2 linked regions of the Lepisosteus oculatus genome follow. The protein of the gene in region 1 purifies or fractionates together with the protein of each later gene. This does not show direct contact. Links are inferred from orthologs where the notes say so. Each region holds a gene or a part of one and is shown in the gene's direction. Other genes may lie near its edges.

What was found.
Region 2: the proteins of huntingtin-interacting protein 1-related protein (region 1) and picalma fractionate together in Homo sapiens (co-fractionation; 3 studies listed by BioGRID and IntAct, with this or other methods). This does not show direct contact. The link is inferred for Lepisosteus oculatus from reciprocal best matches to the Homo sapiens genes HIP1R and PICALM.

Annotation. Positions count from the first base shown.
Region 1 is NC_090717.1:7,337,489-7,345,217, forward strand, and holds the start of huntingtin-interacting protein 1-related protein, read left to right. Parts: upstream 1-4,640; 5' UTR 4,641-5,159; coding exon 5,160-5,252; intron 5,253-7,729. Other genes in the region: ccdc62 (coiled-coil domain-containing protein 62), read left to right, coding at 1,046-1,120, 1,728-1,808. UniProt on the Homo sapiens protein: Component of clathrin-coated pits and vesicles, that may link the endocytic machinery to the actin cytoskeleton. Binds 3-phosphoinositides (via ENTH domain).
Region 2 is NC_090700.1:7,411,763-7,418,863, forward strand, and holds the start of picalma (phosphatidylinositol binding clathrin assembly protein a), read left to right. Parts: upstream 1-3,991; 5' UTR 3,992-4,472; coding exon 4,473-4,602; intron 4,603-4,709; exon of another isoform or gene 4,710-4,803; intron 4,804-7,101. UniProt on the Homo sapiens protein: Cytoplasmic adapter protein that plays a critical role in clathrin-mediated endocytosis which is important in processes such as internalization of cell receptors, synaptic transmission or removal of apoptotic cells.

The DNA of each region.
Region 1 (7,729 bases):
GACACCAGACAGCAGGGATTAGCAAAGCCCATTAGAGATCAAACACCATTTCTTATTTCATAAATCTGCATTTCTTTTTTTGAGGCCAGAAAACTTGTCAACCTTTTAAAAATAAATTAATAGGGCTCTGCTTTACCATTACAATGGTGACATCAGTTCTTGCACAGTTGTTTTTCTTTGATGCTTACTGTATTTCCATATAATATTATGAGAAAAGAATGCATTTTATTTACTCACAATATGCCTTAATATATTTCAGATCTGTATTTCGAAAGAATAAGAACAATTATTACCCTGACTGTTAAAGGAAACACATTATTAAATATTGTGCTTTTATTGAACTTACAAGAACGTATTTAAATATATTGTGAGTTTGTTGGACTTTATATGTGGGGGTGCTTTATTGTTTTTGTTTCATAGAGATCTGTGGCCTGCTAGCCCACTAACCCTGTCAGTCTGAATGATCTCGTGTTGGCTTCCCCAATCAATCGGGTTTCCTAATCTCCATAATCTTCTTACTGTAGAGCTGCCTTGTTAATCTGCTTTTAGGGGTGAATTGTGTCATGCTATCTTGCATTTTGTTCTGTGACATTTTGCTACATAGAGCACAGGCGGCTTTATTGCCTAATTTGCAGAATCTCTAGGTATTTCTGCTTCACTTTCACACACAAAGGGTAACTTGAGTGAAATAATATGATATTAGGTTGGCACACACAATCCTGTAATAATGCGCTGTTCTATTTATAATCTCCTGTCATTCACAGTCTAATACAGTCATTCACCACTCAAGCCTACTGAAATAGAAATGTTTAGTTGAAGTACCATCCAGAGTTAATATTTTTAAAAGATCAGATTTTTTGCAGGATTTAAAGGCAGATGGATGGACTGCTGTGTGAGGACTGTTTTTACTTTATAATAAACTGAAGTTTATATTTTTCTGTTTACAATTATTTATATTTTTGAATACCGACTTCAAGGCTTAAAACTTGATCTTAAAGGTAATGTGGTACGTTGACTGGTGTTTTGTTTCTGAAATTCTGAATAGAGTGTTGAGGCATTGGACAGCAGAGAACAGTTCCTCAGAGACACCCAGCTGCTTGAAGGTTCCACGCACTCCAAGGTAAATATTGTTTCTTAATACAGGCTGGGAAAACAAAGGCTATCAAATCAAGTCAAGTGCAAATACAACTCTATATTAATGTTTATAATAATGTATAATGTTTTATAATAATGTATAATTTTTCGTTATTAGCCCTATACAATTTCTTGCATTAGGAATTCGTCTTTTCGCATACCCCAGCTTTTCTCCATGGAGACAGAGACACACAGACAGGGAGAGAGAAGCTTGGGGACAGAGCGCAGGGTCTGCCATTGTACGGCGCCCCTGGAGCAGTTAGGGTTAAGGGCCTTGCTCAGGGGCCCAACAGAGTAGGATTCCTCTGCCGGCCGTGGGATTTGAACCGGCAACCTTCCAGTCACAGGCGCATAGCCACAGAGCCACCACTCCGCCCTATTAATTGGCAGTGGCCAGCTGAAATAATTCACTAGGGTAACACAAAGATTAAACCACAGACTGATGCACTTTTCAGTCCTGTTGCATAAAAGAGTAACACTGCAGAAAAGTTTGGATTTAGGAGAGTGGTGATGTGAGAGTATTCTGTGTCTCAATATAAGCGTAGAAAACAAAGATGCAGTTTGTCTTACTGTTATTTTTTCTGATTCCACAGCACCAAAATTCTTGTTCTAAGAGAAGTGTAGCAGGCAGCCTCTTAAACCTGGACACACAGCAGCTGCCTGTTAATCTCTAAGACGCATCAGGTATCTGGGAGGCCGTGAATTGGACTGCAAAGGCTACCCATGTGTTCAAAGCCAGCTATCTCCGTGGAACTGTGGGTGGAGGTGAAAGTTCTGAATGACGCTGGGATGCCTGGATTGCACAGGGATGCAGAAATATGTACCATAAAAAAGGAATGTCTTATGCTCCTAGACCACTGTTAGAGTCTAATAGCTAGGGTAGGCGTTTCCTCAGATGCTAACAATGCAAACAGACACAAAGTTAAAAAAGAGTCCCGCTGTATTTTATGCATGTGATAATAAATTCATTCTTTAAAGAATGCGAAAGTTTTTTAAAAATAAACAGTAATTTATTTTTTTAAATTAATGCTGGAAACAAAATGTAATGCAAAAATCTGTTTTCACTTGCCTAGACCTCGATAGTTTTAGATAGCAACATAAAAATAATGACTTAAGTATTATAAAGGAGTAACCAAAAAGCAGAAATTGAGTTTCAGTTTCTGTATTAAATACAAAAGAGATCTGTAGTCAACAGGAATGTGGTTGCACTTTCCATGTAAAATATATTGTTAATGCCTATAGGAAAAAATAGCACATGAGATCTAAGATTTATTGACCTACCAGATCTTTAGATGGCATTAGTCTTGGCTTGGGTTTTTTAAAATATAATTTTATTATCTGAAAGACACATCAATTATAAAAGAAATATTTAAGTATATGCATTTTTATGTTTGAATCATTTGTGGACAAAACTGTTGTTAGAAGTCCAACTCTTCTCTATTAGAAATACAAATGTACTGTTAAGGGTGCACCACAGACACTAGAGCCTAAAATATGACGTTTGCGGGTTTTAATACAGATGTCAGAACCTTTTTCATACAATCACTAACATGTAGTTTCACCTTACAAATACAGTACAGTAACTGGAATGAAACGAGCAATTAAATACAGTAATCTAAGACATGGCACTCTTTAATAGAAACTATTTTAACAGGTCAGAAATGAAGAGCTAAATGATTCATACTGAATCTGAGTGGGCATCTATTTTATTAGAGATACCTGGGCTTTCAAAAAAGTATTAAGTAGTTTTCCCCTGATTAACCTGGAGAAATCTAGATTTTTAAAACCAGCAGTATTTAAAACATTGGGCTCTGTGAGACGTATTTTCCACAGGGGTGAAACAAGCTTTCACTCCTAGATTTAACTTGATCCCAGATTGTCTTCACACTAAATGAGTGATGTTGAGGAAACTTCATTGGCATTCAAGGTCTAGTGAATATCATTTGTTTTCTGGGCTTGTGAAAGGTCCACAATAGCTTTAAAATATTAATTGACAGCAGTTCTTCAACTATTAAAACTCTGCTGTCTCCTGCCAGTAAACCTATTTCCATTAAATTTTGTCTGACTGTACAGTCATTTTACTGTTCCACTCATTACATGATAATGTCAAAGTCTTGCCTCACACCTTTTTTTAGCACGGAAAAATCTGCAAATTTGGGAACATTAGCTAAAAATGTGATAGTTTTCAAATTCAAAGAAGATATTTTGTTCTAGTATTCACCTGAGTGTTACTCTAAATTATAAATGAGCTAAAATGTTGAGGACAGAACGTTCTAATAAGGTACAGTACTACAGCATCAGGGGATACAGTGACTTGTTTTACTTCATTCACTGCTGGTGAGGACATCGTGAGATTACCGTGATGTACATTCAGACAGCTAATTTATTTCCCTCACATTTCAAATACTAAATGCGTGCACTATAACAGTGGTAAGGTGTTTTCTGAAATTCTGCCAGCCTCATTTACCAAGCTTCTCGGTTTAAATTAAACCTTTGTTGTCTAATTGAGTGTTATGTATTTTGAATCCTCTAAAAAGCAATATTTACGCAGCAGCGGGGCAAGTGGGAATGTTATTACAGTGGTATCTTGCACTCTGAATCGTAAGAAAACAGATTGCCCCTCGTTTCAGAGTTCCGCCAGTGTACAAGGGTGTGAGTTTTTTTTTCTAGCAGTTGACGTAAGGAGATGCAGAACAATTTGGACATGTTGCAGAAGTACAGTGACTTTATGTCGTGAAGACAGAGTCTCTAGAGGCGTCAGTACTGAGTTTTTCTTCGTGCCTGTTGACAGTATTGTGAACATCTATAGGGAAGTGGTTGAAACTGCCCTATATTATTACCGTTGGTTCTTGTACATATCAAAAAGCACTACAGACATGAGGACGGAAAACAGAACTATAAACCTAATATGTATCAATACTGTGCAATTCAGATTTGAGCACAAGTGTACTCTGAAATTGTTTTTTTTTAGGTTTTGTAAAGTGCATTATTTTTAACAGTATTTTTCTGAAGATTGTATGTTTTTTTTTAAATGGTCATTGTTATTTGTATCGGAATTGCTCAAATAAAACTTTCTCACATATGTCGTGTACCGTTTTTAAAGATACAAAATACATTTTAAAATAAATATCAGCTAATTAAACTCTTCGACTTCATATTCAAATAAGCAGCACGCTGCAATCCGTTTTATACATTCAGTGTATTTATATAGCCTACATAATGCAATAGGAAATCCATGTTAACATATGAAATTTCTAGACGTCTGAATACTTCTGTGGAAGCCCAATAAAATGCACTGACGTTGTGTAGCGTGTATTTATAATGGCAGATGCCGCTGCTGATTTCTGCAGCAGGCAAATCCAAACGTTTAATGAAAATCTGATCGCACTTGATACGATCGGGGCCAATTCGCAGGGGAGTTTCCCATTGGCAGAGCCCGCCACCAAAAAAAAAAAAGACATTACCGGGCATGGCCGGAACGTGAATCCGACTCCCAGCAGCTTTGTGCGTTGATTGATTGGTGGGGAAAACTGTATACAGTTTTTCTTCTAGACTGATCTCTTATCCCTCCTCCCCCCCTTCTCTCATTCCGCCCATTCAGGAAAGCGCGTTGCTATGTCCGTGTTCTGTGCAACCTGGGCTGGGATCCACGTATCGCAAACACACAGCAGTGCCTTTTTCTTCCTTCTCCCATGATGCTGCGTTCATTTAACTCTGCACGGCGGAGCCAGCCCCTGCACTAGCGCGGCCAGCCGGGAGCTGTTGTTTTTTTTTTTGGGGGGGGCTTTTTGTGTTTTTATTTGTTTTGTTTTCCTTTGTGTTTTAAAGGGCAACCGGAAAAAAAAAAACAAAAAACACACGCGCGTCGTTTGGACTGGTCGCTCCAGCTCGTCGTATCCCCCGGCTTGCTTTTTGTTTTGTTTTTGTTTTTGTTTTTTAAAAAACAAAAGGGTGATTTTTTATCAAGTGCATAATCGACACCAGAGGCAGAGGCATATTCGTCTCCCGAGCTGCCGGAGCGGAGGATGAATTCGATACGACAGGTGCCTTCCAGGGTGAAAAGCAGAAGAAATGAGAACAGTTTGGGGGCGGAGAAAGAGCATTTTGACAAGCAGCAGGTAAAGAGAATATCGCATTGTAAACCGGTGGGCTTGGTTCATTGATAATTTAAAGTCCTACAACTGGGCGAGTAATAGAATTAATTTCACGTGTACGTATACATTGTGTCCTACGTGACAAGACGGGAAGAGTTCAAAAGGTGTCGTCGTCCCCATGTCAGTGAAATCTTTCGAAGAGAACTCAAGCATTTTGTGGGGGAAATGGTGTTTACTTAGTGGTAGCCAGCCTAGGTTGGCTTCTTGAGCTGAAAAAAAAAAATGTGCAGGGCAGAAACATGATGTCAATCATTCGGTGTCTGTTCTGTGTAGCCGTAGCTATCAAAGCGGTCATTAACTGTCCTTGTTTTGTAATTTGTTTGTGTAATATTACTTCTGTTTTGTTCTCGGTGTTGAAACCCGGCTGGGGAGCGCAGTGGCGGGGAGGAGATTGCACATTAATTAAAGAGATTGCTTAAATCTAGACAGGGAAGTGTCCCAAAATAAGTTCACAGTACTCAGACAGCTTAAAAAAAAAGACCCCTCAAAATGCATCGTTATAAAAGTCCTAAATTCGCGCTTTTAAAATCCCGACGTGGATAATAACTGCTAAGAATTCAATATACAGTTGACAGGTCAGTTGAGTCTGCGGTATTTTGCTGAAAAGGGGACTGGTTGGTGTTGGTTTACATACATAAACCGGCAAGGTGGTGATTTCTTTTTAGAAAGTTTGTCTTCCACGCAAAATACGTCATTCAAAGGTGAGTGCACAAATGATGGCTACGAAACAACACCTGATGAAAACATTCATTCTTCCACGTTTGTTTTTTTAACCTGAGCTACGGGCGAACGTCAGCATGAATGCCTCCTTGTAGCCCTGCGAGGGCGCCTCCCTAGCTACCACCGACTTGCTCCCAGCTGATTAGGGAAGTTGTGCACGTCAGGATTCAATGAAAAGGACGTTGTCGGAGGCTTTGCTTACACTTAACGTGATCGGCCTGATGTACAAGCGATACCTGTTCAAGCAGCTTAATCGTGGGTGTCAGCAAACAACTTCGGAAAACAGGCTCCCGTGACCCCTGGGGCATGGAGCTTCAGACTTGACGGAAATTCCTGTGATTCCAGTGGGTTTTCTGTTACATTCGACCCATTACGGCCATTTGGTCCAGTTTATCAGTTTATCACAGCCACTGTAATGCGAACAGCCCCCCCAAAAAAGATTAATTCTCCTTGACACCCCTTTCCCAAAACGGGGCAGTTCAAACGGGTCAATCAAACCTCATCTCTGTGGGAGATGGAAGGGGACAAAAGCACACAGCTTGCACACTAAATTAATCATAGGGGAGGGAGAATGCCTGTTCCACAAGACTGGTCCCCTGAGCTGGAGTCGAACCCGGAAACATCTGGGAAGTGCGAACCCTTGAACAGAACTGGAGGGGTTCTGCATGACCAGCGGCGTATGGATAACAAAAACCAAATGAAAAGGCGAGCGGCGAGCTCCGGGAGGAAGCGAGTCCAGCGGGGAGAAATTGTCCGGTCTCGCTCCGAGCGGGACGGGCTCATCTCATCCCATCACTCGGCACCTTTCGGGATGAGCAATGATTGAATGGGAAACGCCCTCTTGAGGTCTTTTTTGTTTCTGAAATTCAGACTCCAAGCACAGGGAAAAACTTGGAGGAGTGATGATGATGATGATGATGCAGACGGGGGGGGGGGGGACGAAGAGCAGGAGGGCGTGAGCCGAGGGCCTCCCCTCTTGCCATTCAGGCTGGGGCGATTCCGACCTCCACAGTGGAGGTCACATCGCACGGAAACAGATTTTGGAGTCATTCAGTATACAGTGAATCCTGTTCTTGATAAAGTGATACAAATATTTGTATTTGTTTCCGTATAACTGCAACATTTTTTTTTAGGTCAGACCTGACTTTTTTATGTCGAATTTTGAACAGACTAGCAGGACCCCCTTGAAAGCAAACTGGGCTGGTGCATCTTAAGGTGTCAGTATGCTTTGAACAAAATGTATGCTTTCTTTTTAAGCAGTCATAATGGTACCTCTATAATAGTGTGGAGTCTGTTTTGCTGCTTCTTAATGATTTTGTATTACAGTAGTACTAGCATGTGAAAGTTCGTAGAAAGTCAGCACGCTTTCACTGAGGAATGTAATTAGTTCCTCTTTTTAGGAAGAATTGAATGCACTCCGATGTTAAAACCTTAGCTTGGACAAAGATTGATGACCTGCAGTGTTGTGATTCTGGGAGGCCCTAGGGAGTCAGTCCATGAGCAGCAAATTAAACGGGCAGCAAGCTAATTAGTGGACTCAAGATGAAGAAAGCACTATCATGATTGTTAAGGTTTTAGAAGGTTAGAAATCACTGCATCCCCTGACACATCACATTTCGCATGCATAAGAGAGAGACTGAAAGTTTCCAAATGGCATCTGTCTGGATTTTTTAATGCTCTTCCACAGGCCTTCCACCATGTTGTCGACCAGAAACTAGATT
Region 2 (7,101 bases), on another chromosome or scaffold:
CTTATCCTGTGGTGCATTTTATTTCACTTGCTGAAGGTGTACTGAAGCAGTTGCTCAGGCAGTGCTACAATGCCCTCTAGTGAGCAGGGACACAATGCTGAGCCACATGGAATACAGTAGGTTACGTCTTGATTTAAAGAAATAATATTATTGAATGTTAGTGGCAATATAATAAAACAATATAATGAGTGTATTACCGTTAGTAGTTGCAACCAAATATTACTGTCACCTGTTTTATTGCGGTCATCCACATACTTCAAAATGGTTTCATTTGAAGTAGAGACACAGTGAAGACTGAGCCTCCCATTTCACAATGCTAATGTAATCATGACAGTAATTACAATATGAAGACCAGGACATGTATAAATGATCTAAGCAAGCTCTACTGCAAAGTGCTTGAACTTCTTGATTCTCTTGAATATCTCTAATGACAATGAAGTCAACTTAAACTCTTAAAATACTGTTTGATTAATAGAAAATGCCTTGGTCCTATTATTTAGTTTAGCTACTCAGCTATTTGCAACTACTGTACCTGTCATATAGAATAACCAGCTTATTCCAAATTAGTTTAGAATAAGTGTTGACATATTTTGTTGTTTGATCAATACCTCATCTGCTTGGATGCATCATTTATTTTTTATTAAAATAATATGTAGATATTTTATATTTTTGTTGTTATAATTTTTTATCCAAACTAGGTAAGTCACCAACTTTATACCACTCTTTACTAGATGACCTATAGGGAAATGAATCAATAAATCGAGTCCACAGAGACTATATGATCTTGAAGCCAACCAGAGAAACATGTAAGCTAAGTTAGAGTCTTATGGTATCTGACAAACATTAAAAAAATAAGATACAAATAAATATACATAATAAAAATAATACTCTAGTTTTGTGATTTTCAAAATATTTTTTTGAACCTCAAAGGATTTTGGTCATCATAGTGAAGTAGTTAAGGACTGGGAATCTTCTACCTTTCATTAGAAATCAAATTTATTGACATGCTTTAGCATTTACAGTCATATTGGTTTGAAGTGTATTGGTAGGTTATAAATATAAAATCTTACAGGCACAGGCACAGCTGTGGAATTTACTATTCTGTAGATTTGCTGTATTTGTAGTTACTTTTTTTCACACAGGACACCCATAAAAGACATTCCTATTCTTCAATCATGTTTTGCAGCACAAACAGTTGTACATTGAAACAATTAAGTTAAGACAAAAACGAAATTATATGCAAATACGAAATTACATTCTTTATCCTTTTAAGAGATTTCTTCAATCTAAAGAATTATGATGTGTCATTAATCCCTGATTTAATAATTTAAATTTGTACACAAAGTAAACAAAAAGCATTTGAAGGACATTGTTTTATAGCAAATATTACTTTTACTTACTAAATTAAACCACTGAATTTCATTATTAGGAAGGAGTGCTCTAAACGTTTTGAAGCATTTCTAAAGATAAATGAAGAAAATGTATATGGCCATATGATAGAAGAAAATGTACATTACATTACTTTTGCTTTTAAATTATTTTTTGAATAGTATTGAACTTGTGATTTCTTCCAGAAAATGAATAATTCATGCAATTAATGATGAATCTTTTAAATTGAAAGAAAATATTTTTATTGGACCTCTACAGAACTTAAAACAAGTCTATAGTTCTGTTTAAATTGCTCATGTGGTGTGATCAAACATTTCACAACAGCCTTTAGATGTGATTCCTAGATCTTGCCACAAGATGGCCATGCATTACATTAGTAATGTAAGCACTGTAAATAAAAATGTTGATGCCTGTGATGATCCTGAACCCTTTTGTAAAATTATCTAAATTGGGTACATGTTTGCATAGTATGGGACTGTCTTCACATGAATATAGTCACTGTGTTAAAGATTAAATGCATTATAATTAAAACCACAAAGAATAGGCAGTCAACATACAATTTTTAGTGGATGGGAAAGTCCAACAGTTTTCACATTATAGTTTGGAGTTCCATATTTAAGCTTCATGGCTCATCTGGCTGGAGCATTTCCCATTTTCTGTAGTGTTACGTGGATTCAAGCACTCTCTAGATGGAAGGCTGGCTCATTTAGCATAAACCTGATTATATTCAGCTGAGTGGACTGCAGCGTTCAGGCACATTTTGTAACCCCTATGTTGGACCTGTTCAGCACTGCTTTGGGAGTCAGGTTGATGCTGTTAGTATAGTGTTAGGTGTCCCCTCGGACCTCCTTACAAGAATCCCCAAATGAATGTGCCAGAATGGTGTTAGAGAACACTGGTGCAATCATTTGAATGAGGTGTTAATCCTTGTGGTCATTGAAGACCCCATGACACTGTAAGAGCAGGGGACTTAACCCTGGAGTCCTGCCTAAATCAAATTTCTCCTCAAATTCTGTTGATGGAGAACAAACTCTACCTGCCTGATCTAAAGGGTAGTGAACAGGCAGAGAATGGCTACCTTATACCCAATAGGTGGGTGCACAACATCAGAGGAGGATAAAGTAGCACACAAACAAAGATAAGCATGTTACAGAGTGTTATGTCACCCTGGAGTGCAACTCTCCTCTGTCAGAAGAACGGTAATGTAATTCTTGAGTGACTGAATCCCAGCAGGGGAAGAACTATACGCATCACATATGCAAAGATGATCTTTATTACTATGCACAAACATTACGTGCGAGCTTTGGAGAGCTCATTATCTTCTTTTTTTTTTAAGCAGACTTCGTGTTTTTACAGTGAAAGATCCCTTTTACTCCCAGCATGAATGCCAGCTGAGCTCAACTGAAGCCTCTTTAGTTTGCTTGTGCATATGCCCCTCTGATTGTTTAAGAAGTTCCCAGGGCAGAGCCAATGGAAAACCTGCTCAGTTCCGCATCAATTCTTCAAACATTGTTTTATTTACAAACACAATTTAATATGGTATTGGTTAGGCTCACAACAGAGAGTGGAGTTCAGAGTCCTGTAGCTAATTAATTAGGTTACTTTCCATTGTCTGGCATCCTGTACATCGCAGGCATACGTGAATGCAATCAGACTGGATGCACTGTGAGGTAACTCGCACTGCTAATGAAACTTGGAAGAAGCATTTATTGACAAATGACAACACCCTGGTGTAAAATGGTTCCGCTGTTTACTAAACGTGTCGGTGTGCCATTTGATCTGATCCACTTGACTGATACATTCCCGAGATGAAAAGAATGCCAAAAGACTTTTCTGTTCTAGGGTGGAATTTAACATTGAGGTACGCGAGTCAAATGGTAAAATGATCTCTTCTGCTATAAGGGGCAGAGCAGTGGTTCTGTGGCTAAGGATATGTGCCTGTGGCTGGAAGGTTGCTGGTTCAAATCCTGCAGCTAGCAGAGGAATCCTACTCCGTTGGGCCCCTGAGCAAGGCCCTTAACCCCAACTGCTCCAGGGGTGCTGTACAATAGCTGACCCTGTGCTGTTACCCCAGGCTTCTCTCCCTGTCTGTGTGTCTGTCTCTCATGGAGAGCAAGCTGGGGTATGTGAAAAGATGAATTCCTAATGCAAGAAATTGTATAGGGCTAATAAAGTGATGTTATGTTATAAAGCCTACCTTAAGAGTTGGTTTATGGAATGAAACTTCATCAGTGGTATTTTTCTCCAATGCACAAATTACCTTCAAGACTAAAGTTACTAAAAGGGAGCATGCATGGGTAAGTAAGTGAGATCAGTCTGCTTATTTGAACGACGGAAGCAAAGACAGACAGCCACCCTTTGATTACACTGCTAACAATACTTTCTGCCGAAATAGAGCACTATGGAACGTGTGACATGTCACGTGAATTGAAACCATCCCTGCTGGTGTACAGACCGAAGACGGGAGCAGGGAAACTACTGTTCGCTTGTCGCCATGTTGGCTCTACAAACTCGATTCTTGCCCAGGCGTTGTCGAAAACACGCAGGAGCCACAATGGAGTCAGTTTCCGAACTACACAATACCTTGGGAGGCTCCAGCAAGAGAAGGAAACGGACCCGCCATTTTCCTGCAAGCCTCCGGTCCATTTAAACCCAGCAGGGGGAGGCGAAAAAGAGGAGAGAGACACAGAGGGTGAGAGAGAGAGAGAGAGGTGGGGGGGAAGAGAGAGTGAGTGCGAGAGAGAGTGTGTGTGTGTGGTAATAGGTTGAGGGAGTAAGAGAAACGAGGACCCTTAAGAAAAAAAGAAGCACTGTTTTTTTTATCTGCCTGCAGCCCGACGTCCAATGATCTTTGGCATTTATACTGGGGCTTCTTGGACCAAACAGTGGATATAACAATATTGTTTTTCCTACTGGTTTTTCTCCCGAGTACGGACGGTTTTTGTCTCTTTTTTTTTTCTTTTCCTTTCTGTGTCAGGTGGTGGAACCGTGGAAGCCCCCGGAGGATATCCGAACATACCGATTCTCTTTAAAATATCGGGAAGATCTATCCTGTTTTTCATTCCTTGTACAGAGAAGCGAAGATGTCTGGGCAGAGCATAACGGATAGGATAACTGCAGCTCAACACAGTGTTACCGGGTCTGCAGTCTCGAAAACTGTGTGCAAGGCGACCACGCACGAAATCATGGGACCGAAAAAGAAACATTTAGATTGTAAGTATCTTCGTGGTTAGGGCTCTGCCGCACACAAAATAACATATTTCAGCCGTTGCCCTCTGCGTATCGGGGCTAAAGTTGCGATAAGGACGGTGACGAGACCTGAGCTAAGTGCTGAGGCCTAAGTACATCTCCTACTAATATCTTATCAGCCAGCACTACTAGCAGGATCGGCCCCCTAATATTAACGTCTCGCAGGTACGTTACATTTGTCACCCGTGTTGTGTTAGGCGTAACGCCGTCACCTGTGTTTGTTTGTTTTTTAATGAATAATCTGAGTTAGACCTCCATGCCCTCCATTGAAATCCTTAATTATTTATTTGGGAAAATAATTCACCGCAGCCCAGCCACACAGCCTCTCTCTCTCTCTGTGGAAGTACGAGGCATCGATCACTGATCTTTTAATTTCTTCTTCTTATTATTATAGACCAGTTCCTGATTCACCCCCCATAAGTATCCCAATTAATTTTATTCGTAATTCTGAGTAATCTTGTCATTTCTTTCTGATGGGAGGTTTTATTTTATTGTGGTGTGGATATACATAATCGGTTTACCGTTTGATTTTTCCAGGCTCCTGCCCGGCTTGTCTTTGTTGGGTTGAGTTAGGACGTACTGTATTAAGTGCCCTAGTTAGCCTAATTATTCCTGCCTCCTCTGATGGCCGTGAAGGTGTTTGATAGGAGTTTCCCCGCTTGCTGGTAACTTTCAACACGCCATTTAAAATACTTTTTCCTTCCCTCTTCGGGCTGTATATCGCCAATTTCTGCACAGTTCATAGCGGTTCGGGGCAGTTGAAGCATGTCTTATGAGGTGTGTGATTTGGGGGGGGCAGAGATCGGCGGACCTGTGATCGTGATTTCGACGTGTCACCATGTCTGAAATAGATGGAAGGGGGCGTCACGCTTCCTTTTAATTTTATTTTAACACCAGAGGCTACTGTCCGTCACACCTGGATACCACGTAACGCTCTTGCACACCGAATAACGAAACAAGCAGGCGTCAGATGTTTTGTAGTTGTAGCTTGTTAGGTATGACTCCTGCTAGTAAAGAAAAAGGCAACCGAATCCACGATGCCTTATCTGTTGTGGCAATAACGGGTTGTTTTACAAGTTGTATCTGTAATGTTAAAGAGACCCTGCTTGGAAAACCTAAACTTTTGAATCGTAAATCCTTCGAGTCGAACGGCAGTTTAAAGTAAACTCATTTAACCCAGGTGACGTGCAATGAGAAACTGAGAAAGTTTATTCCACTCTACAGGATAAAAGGCACAGCATACATGTGATAATATAGAAGATTTGTCTGAAGAGATGTTTCATATATGACATTCAGTTAACTTTGAATAACTGGAGATAAACCTGAGTTGTTGTTGTTTTTTTTCCGTGGAAATGTTGAAAGAGTGCTGGAAAATAGCCACAGTTGTAAAGAGCCTTTAGAAACTGCTCTAAACTGGGGTGTATCTAACTTCCCTTGTACAGCAGAGGTAACGGACAACTCCCAGGGCTGGCGCTGGTGGCCTGGCATCTTAGAAGGCTACGATCTGCCTTTTTTAAGCCGACACTATTTAAGGTAAAGTCAGTAAAATCTGCTCAGGTAGAGAAGGCTGAAGAGTGACTGACCGTTTCTTTTGCGGGATATGTTGTAAAGCAGTAAGAAGTGACACTCCACCTGGAACCCCATCTGAAAATCCCAAATCTGTGGAACACCGAAGGAAAGTTGTGGATTTGTAACAGTTTTCCTCAGCTGAAAAGTAACACCGCAGATGAGCTAGACATTTGTTTGCCAGCTGCTACTGTTGAGAATTCTTCAGGTGTGGAAGGGCTGCTGCTTTCATGCAATTTTAGTCAGTCTTTAATGAGCATTTTGTTCAAAGATGACACTTCAATTAAATGAGATTTCCTTCAGACGAGCTGTAAAACATTTGCTTATCCTTCAGCGTATATTTGCATAGTTGCTTCTGCTGCTGTACATTTACATGTATTTTGTTAATAGGAAAAACAAAATCTTTCATCACTCTTTCTTAAAAAAAGACAGTTCCAATTTTGACAACATACAGTTTGCAAAGAAAAGGGGAACATTCAGCCCATCTAGTTTATTTGATCAGAGGATCTTGGAGACATTTTGTTTTGAAAGAAGAAATGGTATCACCTTCAGCAAAACTTGATAGTTTCTTCCATACTCTTAAAATCCACTGTCTCTAGCAGTGCTACTGTTCTCTGTTTAAAATGCATATAAATGTTTTCTTTAGTTACCATTTGTGTCCAATGATCTGTCTGTCACAGTGGAATTTAAAGAAGTTCAAACTTGAGTAAGGAATTTTGAAAATGTTTTCGTAATATATGTGAATCACACATCTTATTTTAAAGATTCCAGTTATCTATGGCCACTATACTCTAGGAGTTGTAACCCCCCTTGAACTAATGCATGTCAGGATAACAAAACCTAAAAATAGCTTTTTAATGGAATTTGTCAGTCGTGGCTTTCTTTAGAGTTTAGGGA